3 linked regions of the Tamandua tetradactyla genome follow. The protein of the gene in region 1 binds, or shares a complex with, the protein of each later gene. Links are inferred from orthologs where the notes say so. Each region holds a gene or a part of one and is shown on either strand. Other genes may lie near its edges.

What was found.
Region 2: UBTF (region 1) and POLR2L share a complex: the UniProt entries of both Homo sapiens proteins name them as parts of the pol I pre-initiation complex. The link is inferred for Tamandua tetradactyla from reciprocal best matches to the Homo sapiens genes UBTF and POLR2L.
Region 3: UBTF (region 1) and POLR1C share a complex: the UniProt entries of both Homo sapiens proteins name them as parts of the pol I pre-initiation complex. The link is inferred for Tamandua tetradactyla from reciprocal best matches to the Homo sapiens genes UBTF and POLR1C.

Annotation. Positions count from the first base shown.
Region 1 is NC_135332.1:23,274,043-23,277,782, forward strand, and holds the start of UBTF (nucleolar transcription factor 1), read left to right. Parts: upstream 1-818; 5' UTR 819-1,176; intron 1,177-1,495; exon of another isoform or gene 1,496-1,642; intron 1,643-2,441; exon of another isoform or gene 2,442-2,511; intron 2,512-2,871; exon of another isoform or gene 2,872-2,938; intron 2,939-3,310; exon of another isoform or gene 3,311-3,421; intron 3,422-3,740. UniProt on the Homo sapiens protein: Recognizes the ribosomal RNA gene promoter and activates transcription mediated by RNA polymerase I (Pol I) through cooperative interactions with the transcription factor SL1/TIF-IB complex.
Region 2 is NC_135335.1:671,984-675,578, reverse strand, and holds POLR2L (DNA-directed RNA polymerases I, II, and III subunit RPABC5), read left to right. Parts: upstream 1-1,241; 5' UTR 1,242-1,328; coding exon 1,329-1,423; intron 1,424-2,816; coding exon 2,817-2,925; 3' UTR 2,926-3,023; downstream 3,024-3,595. UniProt on the Homo sapiens protein: DNA-dependent RNA polymerase catalyzes the transcription of DNA into RNA using the four ribonucleoside triphosphates as substrates.
Region 3 is NC_135331.1:101,096,854-101,100,593, forward strand, and holds the start of POLR1C (DNA-directed RNA polymerases I and III subunit RPAC1), read left to right. Parts: upstream 1-785; 5' UTR 786-1,090; coding exon 1,091-1,159; intron 1,160-1,280; coding exon 1,281-1,352; intron 1,353-1,969; exon of another isoform or gene 1,970-2,111; intron 2,112-2,482; exon of another isoform or gene 2,483-2,796; coding exon 2,797-2,904; exon of another isoform or gene 2,905-3,158; coding exon 3,159-3,291; exon of another isoform or gene 3,292-3,566; coding exon 3,567-3,686; exon of another isoform or gene 3,687-3,740. Other genes in the region: protein YIPF3, read right to left, coding at 1-72, 705-785. UniProt on the Homo sapiens protein: DNA-dependent RNA polymerase catalyzes the transcription of DNA into RNA using the four ribonucleoside triphosphates as substrates.

The sequences.
Region 1 (3,740 bases):
CCGGGGTGCCCGGCTCCCCTCGCGGCTCTCAGTCGCCGGGGGGCAGCGCCTGCGGCCTGCTTTCCCAGGGCTGGCCGAGCCTTTTTGACAAACTGATTGCGTGGCGGGGATTGGCTGGTCCAGGCGTGACGCCGGTAACAACAAAGGTGGAGTTGGAAGAAATTAGATTAAAGACTAGGAAAAAAAAAAATTAAAGGGGGAGCTGGCCAAGGGACAGGAGACAGAGATCGAAGGGTTGAGGCGCGAAGCGCCGTCTCGCGGCTCCGACCTCTCCCCGGAATCCCCTGCGTGCAAACCGGTCCGGATTTCGCTCTCCACGCCCACCCGGACCCAGCTCTCCAAAGCCGAGGTGGAAGGGACGGCTGGTACTTTCTGAAAAATCCCCCTCAACTCCCACCCGTGACACCCCTGGCTACGACCCAGGGGGGGGAACTTTTTGGTCGGACTCCTCGGATCCTATACCCGGCGGAGGTGGGGACGTTGAAAACAAGGAGAGACTCGCTCTAAACCCCGGAAGGCCCTTGCAGGGCACGAAGATCGGACCAGGCGGGGTGTTCCCCCGTTTTTTCGATGTGTTGTAAATCTGAGAAGAGCGTCTTTCGTTTCATTCCTTTTTCCTTCTTCTTCTTCTTCTTTTTTTTTTTTGTAAAATCCCCCCTTGATTCGCACCCCACCCCCAGCTTTGGCTTCAGGGTTACAAAAGCAAAGAGCAATAAAAAAAAAAAAAAAAAAAAAAAAACCGCGCACACACTCAGGCACACACCAGTGGCGACAGGGGAGAGTAGGAAAGACGCAGGAGAGAAGCAGGAGGCAGGAGGCAGCGGGGAGGGAGCAATGGGAGCGGGAAGGAGGCAGGTTCCCTGGCAAATCCGCCTCCGGCCTCACGCCGCCTCACCGGCCCCGGCAGGGGAGCGAGGAGCCGGGCAAGCAGATGGAGTGGAGCTCGCTCTAGGCAGCGGGCTTGGCCGGAGAATGGAGGAGCCGCCAAGCGACCGGCTGATTGGAAGAGAAACGCAGAGCGATGGAGGCGGGGGTAGGAGGACGATTTCTCTGCGGGGACTGGCGGCAGCGTACACGCCCGGGTCGGGCGCTGCAGAGCTTGGCTAGCTTTCAACCCGCGCTCGCCGGCTCCAGCCCGGTGCGCCCCCACCCCCAGCCCTACCGGCGGCTCCGCAGGTGAGTGCGAGCTGGGGGCAAAAAGACCCAAAAGTCTCAAAACGCCCGCCCTGCGGGTAAAAAAAAAAAGCAAGAGAAAATGGAAAAGAAAAGCATGTTTCTTTCTTTCTTTCTTTTTTTTAAAATTTTTGTGCAGTTCCCAGCACGGTGGGAGGGAAGGGGTGAGGCTGAGCCGCCCGGAGGAGGCGGAGGGGCCAGGCGAGGCCGGGGTGGCCCGGGAGGCGGCGGCGCCGAGGCGGCTCTGACGGGCGAGCGCTCGGAGCGGCGCTGCGCTGCGCCGAGGCGGGCGGGCGGGCGGAGCGGGGCGGGCGGAGCGCGGCGCGTGGGGCTCGCCATTAGCCGTCGCTCCGCTTCGCCATCTCGGGCTTTGTCTGGCGACTCGCTGCTCCGGTGTCGGCTGCGGCTCGGCTCTTCGGCCCGCCGCGCCCCCAGGTGCCCCCGGCCCGCGTTCCCATCCACTCGTTCGGTGAGTGCGCCCCAGCGCCGCGGGATTTCGGGAGAAGAGGGGTTGCGGCGAATGGCAGCGGCGGCCGATCTCCATGCGCCCGGGCGGGCCTGGGGTAGCCATGCCGGGCTGGATTGAACCGGCTCCCAGAGCGGCTCCTCGGCCACAGCCGGTCGCCCCCTCGCCGTTTCCGGGGTGTAAGGAGTAGAGAGGAATTTTTTTTTTTTTTTTTTGCGGGAGAGCGTTCCTGGGGGCGATTTTTATTTTGTTAAAGTTTAGTGTATATCGCTCTACTCGCCAGCGCGGGGACCGCGAGGCGGGCTGGCGCCGCGATCGGCAAGTCTGCGCCCCAAGCCCGCGGCCACACGCGGAGGATATGGGTGGGCGCGGACCACCCGTTCCAGGAGGCAGGAGAGGGAAGCGGGTGAGGGCTGGCCTGGGAGGCCGGAGCTAAACTGAGAGGAGTGGTGGGAGAGCTCCGGAACAGGGCTACGGGCACCACCGAATGTCCCCGGCCGCCGGGGAGCCCTCCGGGCACCCTCGTCGCAGCCGCGCCCTCCCTCCCGCGCCGGCCAAGCCTGCTAGTTCCCCCGCGGGTCTGGGGAGGTCGCTCTCAGCGCGCCCGCCCGCCTCGGCTCCGAGCCCCGCCGCCATCCGGGCGGCTGCGTGTCTCCCTGCCTCGGCCCCCCCCCTCCGGCGGCAGCAGCAGCAGCAGCAGCAGCCGCCGCCGCCGCCACCCCCCTCCCCTCCTTCCTTCCCTCCGCCTCGGCCGCCCGGGTCCCCCTAGCTCCCGCCCCTCCTCCCAGCTGCCCCCCGCGGAGCCCGCCCGGGCAGGCTGTGGGAGGGAGTGGAGCCGGCGAGGCAGGCGGGCTGGCGCTCGCTCCCCGGGGGTCGGTGTGCGCTCTACGGGGAAGGACGCGCTCGCTGCCCCGCTTCTCCCGCCCCCCCTCCCGCTCCTCCTCCTCCCTTCTCCCTCCTCCTCCCCGCTCCGGCGGCGGAGGCTGCGGCGGCGGCGGGGGGTGTGCGAGCGGAGGCCGGGGCCGGCGGGCGGGCGGCGGGCGGGCTGCCTGCAGGCGGAGGGCGCTGTGCTTTGTGCTTTTCGCCGCGAGGAGCAGCAGGCAGCAGCCAAAGCTGCCGCCGCCGCCGCCACAGCAGGAGCAGCCGCCGCCCCAGCGCCGCCGCCGCGCCCGGAGGAGGAGCCGCTGCCGCCGCGGGAGGGAGCTGCGGCTGTGCCCGGCCGAGCGGGGGAGGGCGCCGCCGCTCAGAGCCGGGGAGGGAGCCACGGGAGCGGGAAGCCCGGAGGCCGCGCTGCGCTGGGTAACTGAGGCGGACGGAAGACGCGCGCTGGGGTCGGGGCCCAGCAGCGGGGAGCGAGCTGCGGATGCGGGGGGCGCCCGGTGGGGACCCGAGGCGACCTCCGGGCAGGGGACTGGGCGAGAGCAGACCAGGGCACTGGGGAGGACACGCCGAGAGCCGGGGGAGGGGAAGGCAGGAAGCGAGGCCCGAGCCGAGCCCCAGCCGCGAACGTAGGAGCCCGCGCTTCTCCGAGCCGGCAGGCGCAGTTCTCGCCGGCCGCCGGAGGGGGCGGCGGGGCCGGTGAGCGCTGCGCCCCCGCCTCCCGGCCGCCGTCCTCCCGCCCTCTCCTTGGCTCGGCTCCCCGGAGGCCGGGGCGGGGGCGCCGGCAGGGCTGGGCCGCAGGCTCGGGGGAGGAGGCGGCGGTTCCCGCCGCGGTCGCGCCTCTGCGCCGAGCTCCTTCGTGCGCGTCGGGGTGGCTGGGCGGTGGCGGCGATTCTGGCAAGGGTGGGTGGCTCGGGGGCGGGGGGCAGGCAGGCTAGGCCGCTTCTCTCCAGCTGGTCGCCCGCCCGGGCGGGCGGGGACGGCGGGAATCCAGATCCGGTCCCCGGGGGCGGTGCGGCTGCTGCGCTCCGGGGCCGGCGGCGGCTGAGCTGCGTCCGGGTCCCCGCCGGGTTGCGGAGGCGGGGGGAACGGGCCGCGGGGAGGAGGGAGGAGGAGACTGCGGCGCGTGCTCGCTTCCGCGGCCACGCGCGCCCTTTACCCGCCCTTCCTTCTCCCCCGCCCTCCAGCTTGGGGCCTCCCCGGGGCGGGCGCACGGAGAGGA
Region 2 (3,595 bases), on another chromosome or scaffold:
CTGACCTCAGGCTGCCGTGACTCAAGGGTCCTCTCTGGCCCCTCCAGGGGAGACAGGATGTGCGTCCAGTCCTCCTGGGTGGAGGCGGCTGGGAAGGGAAGTGGCCTTAGCTCGTGGCTCTGCACGTGGCCTAGAGGGGGATGGAGAGGGCCACTGGGGAGGTGGAGGCACAAATTCCAGGCAACAACAGCCGGCCCAGCCCTACCCAAGCCCAGGAGACCCTTCCATCCCCTCCCACATCCAACTGAGTCAGGGTCCAGCTGACACCTGGGGTGAGACCGGGGGGAGGCAGGGACCCAACGCAGACCCCGTCCCAGGCAGCTCCAAGTCAGGCAGCTCCAAGTCGTGGGTCTTCTTTTACACACACACCCCCCACCGCCGGCCCGTCGCAGCCAGCCCAGCGTCCCCTCTTCCAGGCAGCCTTCCCTGCCTCCCCCGCACACTGCCCCGCCTGCCTCCGCCGCCAGAGGCTCGGCCTGCCCGGGCCACCCCTTCCCCTCCAGCCCCCAGGCTGCCCGTTCCCCTGGCCACGACGCTTCGGCCCGCCGGGCTGGGGTCAGCTGGCCCACGTCGGGGCTGCCCAGCATAGCCTGGCCGGGGGTCCCTTCCCCGGGACCGGAGCACTCGCCGCCGCGGCGGGGCGCTGCGGCGCTGGGGGCACCTCCGCCGTCGGGGCCCGACGCCCCAAACTCAGAGCCCGGGCTGGATGGCCGCGGGCGAGGGCCGGGCCCGGAGGGGAGGCGGGAAGACCACCGCCCGGCCCTGCCCCCGGCCCCGTGTGGCTGCGGCTCGGCTGCCCTCGGGACTCGAACTCGCGCCCTCCAGTGTGCCCGGCTGTGGTACCGGCCCCGGCTCGGCTCGGGGCGGCGGGGGGCGGCGGAGTCCGGGGGCGCCTCCCGGGCGGTGGGGGGCGGTACCTGCGCGCCCGTCCGCTCCCGCCGCACGGCTGTCACTCCCGCCACACGCGAAACGCGAGCGCCGCCGCAACCCTTGCGGCCCAGCTCGGACGCCGTAGACCTGAACGTACCAAAGCGGCCGCGGGGGGTGCCGGCTATTCCCGTCGCGGCCACGCGGGCCCCGGGAGCCCCCGCCCCGCGCAGAGAAGACTTGCCAGACGTAGAGTAATTGCCGCAAGGGCGGTCGGTGGCGGGGGTGGAGACGGGTGGTGGCAGCGGCGGGTGGCGGCAGGGCGCGGGGACGTCCCCCCCTGCGCCAGTGGGCGCGCCCGAGGCGGGGCCTGCGCGCCGCGGGCGGAAGCGCCTCCTGAGCCGTCGAGCGCAGCCGATTGTCAGACAGCCTGCAGGACCGGTCCGCTGCCTGCCGCCGCCATGATCATCCCCGTGCGCTGCTTCACCTGCGGCAAGATCGTCGGCAACAAGTGGGAGGCCTACCTGGGCCTGCTGCAGGCCGAGTACACCGAAGGGTGAGGCTCGGGCCCGCGGGAGGGCGCGGGGGGCGGGGTCTCTCGTGGGGGCTCGCAGATCCGGGTCCTCCTCGTCCGGGGCCTTCTCGTCCGGGGCCCTCCTCGTCCGGGTCCTCTTCGTCCGGGGCCCTCCTCGTCCCGGGTCCTCCTCGTCCGGGGTCCTCCAGACTAGCTCCTGGTTTGGGGGGGGCTGTGGAGCTGGGCAAGATGCCTCTAGGTATCCTCGCCGCGGGTCACCGTGGCCTTCTCATCCCCAGGAAATCCCTCAGCCTCTTCCCTGCCACCTGCTCCTCACTGCCTCTCCCTGACACCCCACCACCACCCGGCCACCCCTCCTCCGCCTGGAATGGCCAACTCTCCGCCCCACCAAGTCCTGCAAGCCCCGCTCATCCTTTTAAGAGGCGGACAAGCTGCCTGACCACGCAGCGCCCACCCCTCAGGCAGGAGGCTGGCCCCTTTTCTGTGCCTGCCCCTTAGCTCTGCAGTCAGCTCCTGGGAGCATGTCTGAGAGTCTGCCCCCTTGCCAGCCGTGTGTCACGATCCCATTTGAGCCCTCGGGCCCACATGTGTGCCCAGCATACAAGGGAGTTGCTGGGGGGAGTGTGCCGGATGAATGAGGAAAGTGAATGGATGGCGGGGCACTCAAGCCAGGCCTGAAGAGGTCTGTGCAGGCTGCTGTGTCCCTGGGATGCTCTGAGCAAGGGGACTCCTGGTCTTGCCTCCCACTTTCCCAAGCTGCCATCTGTGCATTGGAGCCGATGCTGTGTGGGCTCTTTGGAGACCTTGATGGCTAGAACACAGGTCCCAGGGAAGTCCTGACTACTGATTGGCATAGGGATTAGGAGGTGTCACTCTCTCGAGAGGTGTTTCTTTTCCTGATTTTGGGGGAGCAGAGCTCAGGAAAGTCCCCTTGGTAGCTGTGTGATCTGTGATCTGTGTGTGGCACCTTTGTCAGCCAGGGACCATGTGGGTCTGCTGGGGTCTGCTGGCTGCAGTGATGTGCGTTCCTGTGTATGGAGGGAAAACTGCTAAGGAGCCAGCCCCAAGGGGAGAGGGGTGTGTGGGCTCTAGCAAGGCAGCAGAGTCCCGGAGAATGAGCCATGAAGACCACACCACAGCCAGAGAAGGCATAAGCCTTGTGCCTCTAAGCTCCCCCCGATACTCTGGAAGTCCCGAGAACCACCCCAGCCCTGGGTGAACGAGCCCAAAGCAGAGGCAGAAATGGGGCTTGTGTGGGAGCAGCAGACTGGTGGTTGGAGGGTGCAGAGGGGGCAGCCCCGGGGGCTGAGGAGTGGAGTAGGCGGGAGAGGTGGTCCAGGGTGGTCGCTGGGGCGTGTGGACTGTGCAATGCGCATGACCACAGCCTGCTCATACCACCTGCCCCTACCCGCAGGGACGCCCTGGATGCACTGGGCCTGAAGCGCTACTGCTGCCGCCGCATGCTGCTGGCCCACGTGGACCTGATCGAGAAGCTGCTCAACTATGCTCCCTTGGAGAAGTGACCGCATATGACAGCTGGGGGTGGTGCGGGAGCCAGGCCCTAGTGCAGCCTGGTGGACTCCGAGCTCTGGAAGATGTCAGTAAAGGTCTCTGTGCAGGATGTCCTGAGGCCTGGGACTGGATTTGTGTAGCTCAGCCCAGAGTGTGTGCCCGGTGTCCCCCAGGGCCAGGATGTGCCGTAGGGTAGGGGCAGGGAGGCCAAGTCAGTCTCAGGGCATCTCTGCTGCTTTGTCCTGAGGCCTCTGGGTGCTGATGAGTAAGCCGGCTGGGGGGAGGGTCAGGGCCTGCCCTGGGTCAGTCTGAGTTTTTTGGGGGCGGGACTGCATCCCCCAGGTGGAGGGGGGATGCTGGCCGAGACCTGCCTGGCCCTCGAGGCCCAGCACCCACTCCCCCAGCTTCCCAACTCCAGGGTGATGCCCCAGACACTTGCCTTGGCCTCTTCCCCTCCCTGACCCAAAGCCAAGCAGTGGGGCCTGGCGGTTTCCCCCACCCAGCAGCTCCTGCCTGGGCCTCCCCACAGCAACCAGAGGCAGCTCTGGGAGCCACATACAGGCCCCAGCACTGAAACCTGTAACCCCCTCCCAACCCACCCCCACTCCTGGCTTCCCTGGGGCCCGAGCTCCTTCCCCCTTGAGCCCCTGAGCTCTCAGCTTAGGCATCAGCTCCTTGCTT
Region 3 (3,740 bases), on another chromosome or scaffold:
ACCCATATCCTCAAAGCTGGAGCCTGAAGTGTCATCCATGTTCTCCATGTCAATCACAGCTGAGCCCCCACCCTGTGAAGACAATGGCTCCTAGAATGAATGGCCTTTCTGCTCATCCATTAAGTCCTCCTCTCTCATCCCAAAGTTTGGGGCTCTGTTCTTCCACTGCTGGGGCTATGGCTTTGAATTACTACAGATCACGCCACTTCACTGCTTCCCCTTCATTTGCTCTCAGAATGCCTGGTTCCTAGCTTTGGCTCTCTTTTCTAGCCTAGGAAACCTACCAGCTGTCTTCCATTCAAACCTTTCTCCTGCTTTCGGTATGAAACCCTCAAAGGCTCAAGACAAAACTGCACACACTATGCTTTCGGCCAGTGACAGTAATTCCTGCCCCTCCCCCGCAGTGTCTGACTCCGGCCCACTTCCTAACTTGTCTCAAAAGCGTTAGTACGCTCTTCCTAACGCCTGAGGTGGGTTAGAGACCCGAAGCCTTCCGGCTGGAGTATCTGTCTGGACCTTTCAAGACAGCACTAACCCCTCCGACTGTCTCGCCCAAGACCCACTGGAGAGAAAAAGTGTTGCAAATGGCGCAGGAGATAAAAAGGTTAGGAGCGGTTTTCCAGGCCCTGAAGGAGAGTCCTCAGGGCACTACAGGGTGGCTGCCGGCGCTAGGGCTGCTGGCATCCAGAGCTTTGGTCCATTACCTGGATGTTTTCTTCGAACCCTCCCCATTCCGGGCCAGTCCCGTTTCGGGCGCCGTTGACAGGCGCCGCTGTAGCTGCCATGTGTCTTGTGGGCTCCCGTCGCTGAAGCCCGCGCTAGCCCCGCGCCCGGAGGAGCGGGCGAAATATGGGTCCGAGGGAGGGAGATGTCAAGAAGCAACGAGAGACAGGACTAGCCGGAACGCAAAAAAGGGAGAAGCCCGGATGTTTGGCCAAATCAGACTCCCGGAAGCTAGGGACGTGGACGGAATAGGATCAGAATCTCGCGATATCTAAACCTCCAGTTGGTGGCTCGTTGTCACGGAGACGGCAAGGCTAGTAGGACGCACGCGCCAATTTACTGTCTTAGTCACGTGGTGGGTTTGAAGATGGCGGCGTCCCAGAGGGTAGAAGAAATGCGAAACCGCGTGGTTCTGGGGGAGTTCGGAGTTCGAAATGTAAGTCCTGTGGCTTTAGGCTCGGGAGGGGAGAGGGGATCAGAATAGGGATGAGTTGGTGTCGGGGATGCCTTTGGCCTCGCAGACCCTTCTCGGACAGGCTCGCCTCTCTTTGCTCTAGGTTCATACTACCGACTTCCCCGGTAACTACTCTGGTTACGATGACGCCTGGGACCAGGACAGCTTCGAGAGGGTGAGAGAGGAGTGGGAAAGTACAGGGAGGGAGAGGGATCTGATTAGGAGGTGGTTGGGGCTGTAGGTGTCCGGAGAGGGTGTGAAGGCCGGACGGTGTGAGCTAAGCCTCAGAAGTTGTCCTTGGGGCTAGAGCCAAAACGTTCATAAAACGTTTACTGAGCGTGTTTCCATCCCACCAGTGCTAGGTGCTGCGTGTACAAGGCTGAATCAGGCGCATGTTTTTTTTTTGCCCTGTTCTGTGAACAAGAAGTTGGGGAAGAGCGCGCATAAAACAAATGATTCCAGTATTGTGTGACAGTGGCGGTTGATAGCGATAAACATGGGATGGGGATTGGGTATCCTATAGAAGGACCTAATCTGGACTGGGAATGGGGACGAGGTATGAAGAGTGCCTGGAGGAGATGCATCTCAATTCAATCTTCAATGATAAGTACAAGTTGTGAACATTGACGAGAGAGGAGGTACTAATAACAGAAGCTAAATTTTGAGGTGTCTCGGCATTGTCCAAGCAGTTCAATATTGCTGTGATGTAAGGTGGGCTGGCACGAGTGATAGGCAGGACTGGAGTAAGTCTTAGGCATTGCAGGTAATAGCTTTTGAATAATTTTTATACAGATAACATCAGATTTGCAACTCACATGATTGGGAGAGAATTTGAGCAGGATGATATGGGTCAGGCAGACCTGTTGGAAGAGTTGAAAATGAAGGCATGGACTAAAACTGTGTCCATGGAAATAGAGGAAAGGGAGGATAGAAGGTAAAATTTGGGATTGATTTGATATGTGCGGTGAGGGAGGGGGAGTGTAAAATAACCTAGTTTGAAGAACTGCTTGGATGGTGGGTGTCCTCTAAGAAGAAATGGGTCTGGGGAAGGAATGATGATGCATTCATTTTCCTGCATGTGGCAATGTCTAGCAGGCTAGAAGAATATATATTTGAAATGAGATCAGAAAGTAGAGTTGATTAAAACCATGAGTGTGGGGTTGAGGTACATGGGAGACAAGAACCTGGGAAATAGTAACATAGGGGAAAGTAGAAGATAGTGAATTTAGTAAAAATCATCAGAGAAGGAAGAGAATCAAAGTTTCAAAAAGAAGGAATTTTATCAATAATGGCAAATGCAGCAGAGTCCAGTAAGGTAAAGCTTGAGTGGTGTCGACTGGAATAAGCAGTGTGGAAGTTCCAGTTCCATAAAAGAATGGCTTCTGTGAGATGATCTGGCTAGAAACCAGATTGCCGAAGGTTTTGAATAGATAAAAACAGAATTTCCAAGAAAAAAAGAAAGGATTCGGGAGAAAGGGACATGTAATGAGGGACATTTGGGCAAAGGGGAGGTTCCTGGATGAGAAGGTATTCATACTTTGAGAGAAATATCCAGAGGGGAGATGTAGAGAGAAATTGACCATACAGATAGCTGGCATCAGTTTTTCTTGCCCCTCTAGAATTTCCGTGTGGATGTGGTACAGATGGATGAAAACTCATTGGAATTTGACATGGTGGGGATTGACGCAGCCATTGCCAATGCATTTCGACGCATTCTGTTAGCTGAGGTATTGATGGGAAGGTGGCATTTGGGGGGTTGTGTGGGGAACCATGCCATCACCTCCCTTGTTGAATATATGCATCTCAAGCTGCAGCCACTCCTTGTTTTTCTTGTAGTTTTGCTGGGCATTCCTCTTGCCCATTCCTTGTAAACTGCTCATCAGACATTCTTTCAGAAGAGTTCTTTTCCTATGAGGAGGCAGGGATTGGGTGGGGAGTCTCTTGAGTGTTTGCAGATGGGTGATACTATTTCCTTGGGCAGGTACCAACCATGGCTATAGAAAAGGTCCTGGTGTACAACAACACATCCATTGTCCAGGATGAGATCCTTGCCCATCGTCTAGGGCTCATTCCCATTCATGCTGATCCCCGTCTTTTTGAATATCGGAACCAAGGTGAGGGTCTGGGAAAATAAAGTTTTGGAAACAGGGGAAGTAACTCTTTATTGAAGTTGATTTTGTAATCAAGATTGCCTGAGTTTAGATACTGGGTTGACTACTGTGTGATCTTGGGCAAGTTACTTAGCCTTTTGCAACGTTAATGTTCTCATCTGTGAAATGAAAATTGTACCTGTTTTATAAGTTCATCAGGAGGATTGAGATAGGCATTGAGTATAGTACCTGGCATGCAAATGTTCACAAGTTTTCCTCCTCCTCTTACATTTGTGCAGGAGATGAAGAAGGCACAGAGATAGATACTCTGCAGTTTCGGCTGCAAGTCAGGTGCACTCAGAATCCCCATGCTGCTAAAGATTCCTCTGATCCCAATGAACTCTATGTGAACCACAAAGGTGAGTAGTGGTAGGGTAAGGGAAAGGCTGATGTGTGCTAGTTTTAGAGGTTGA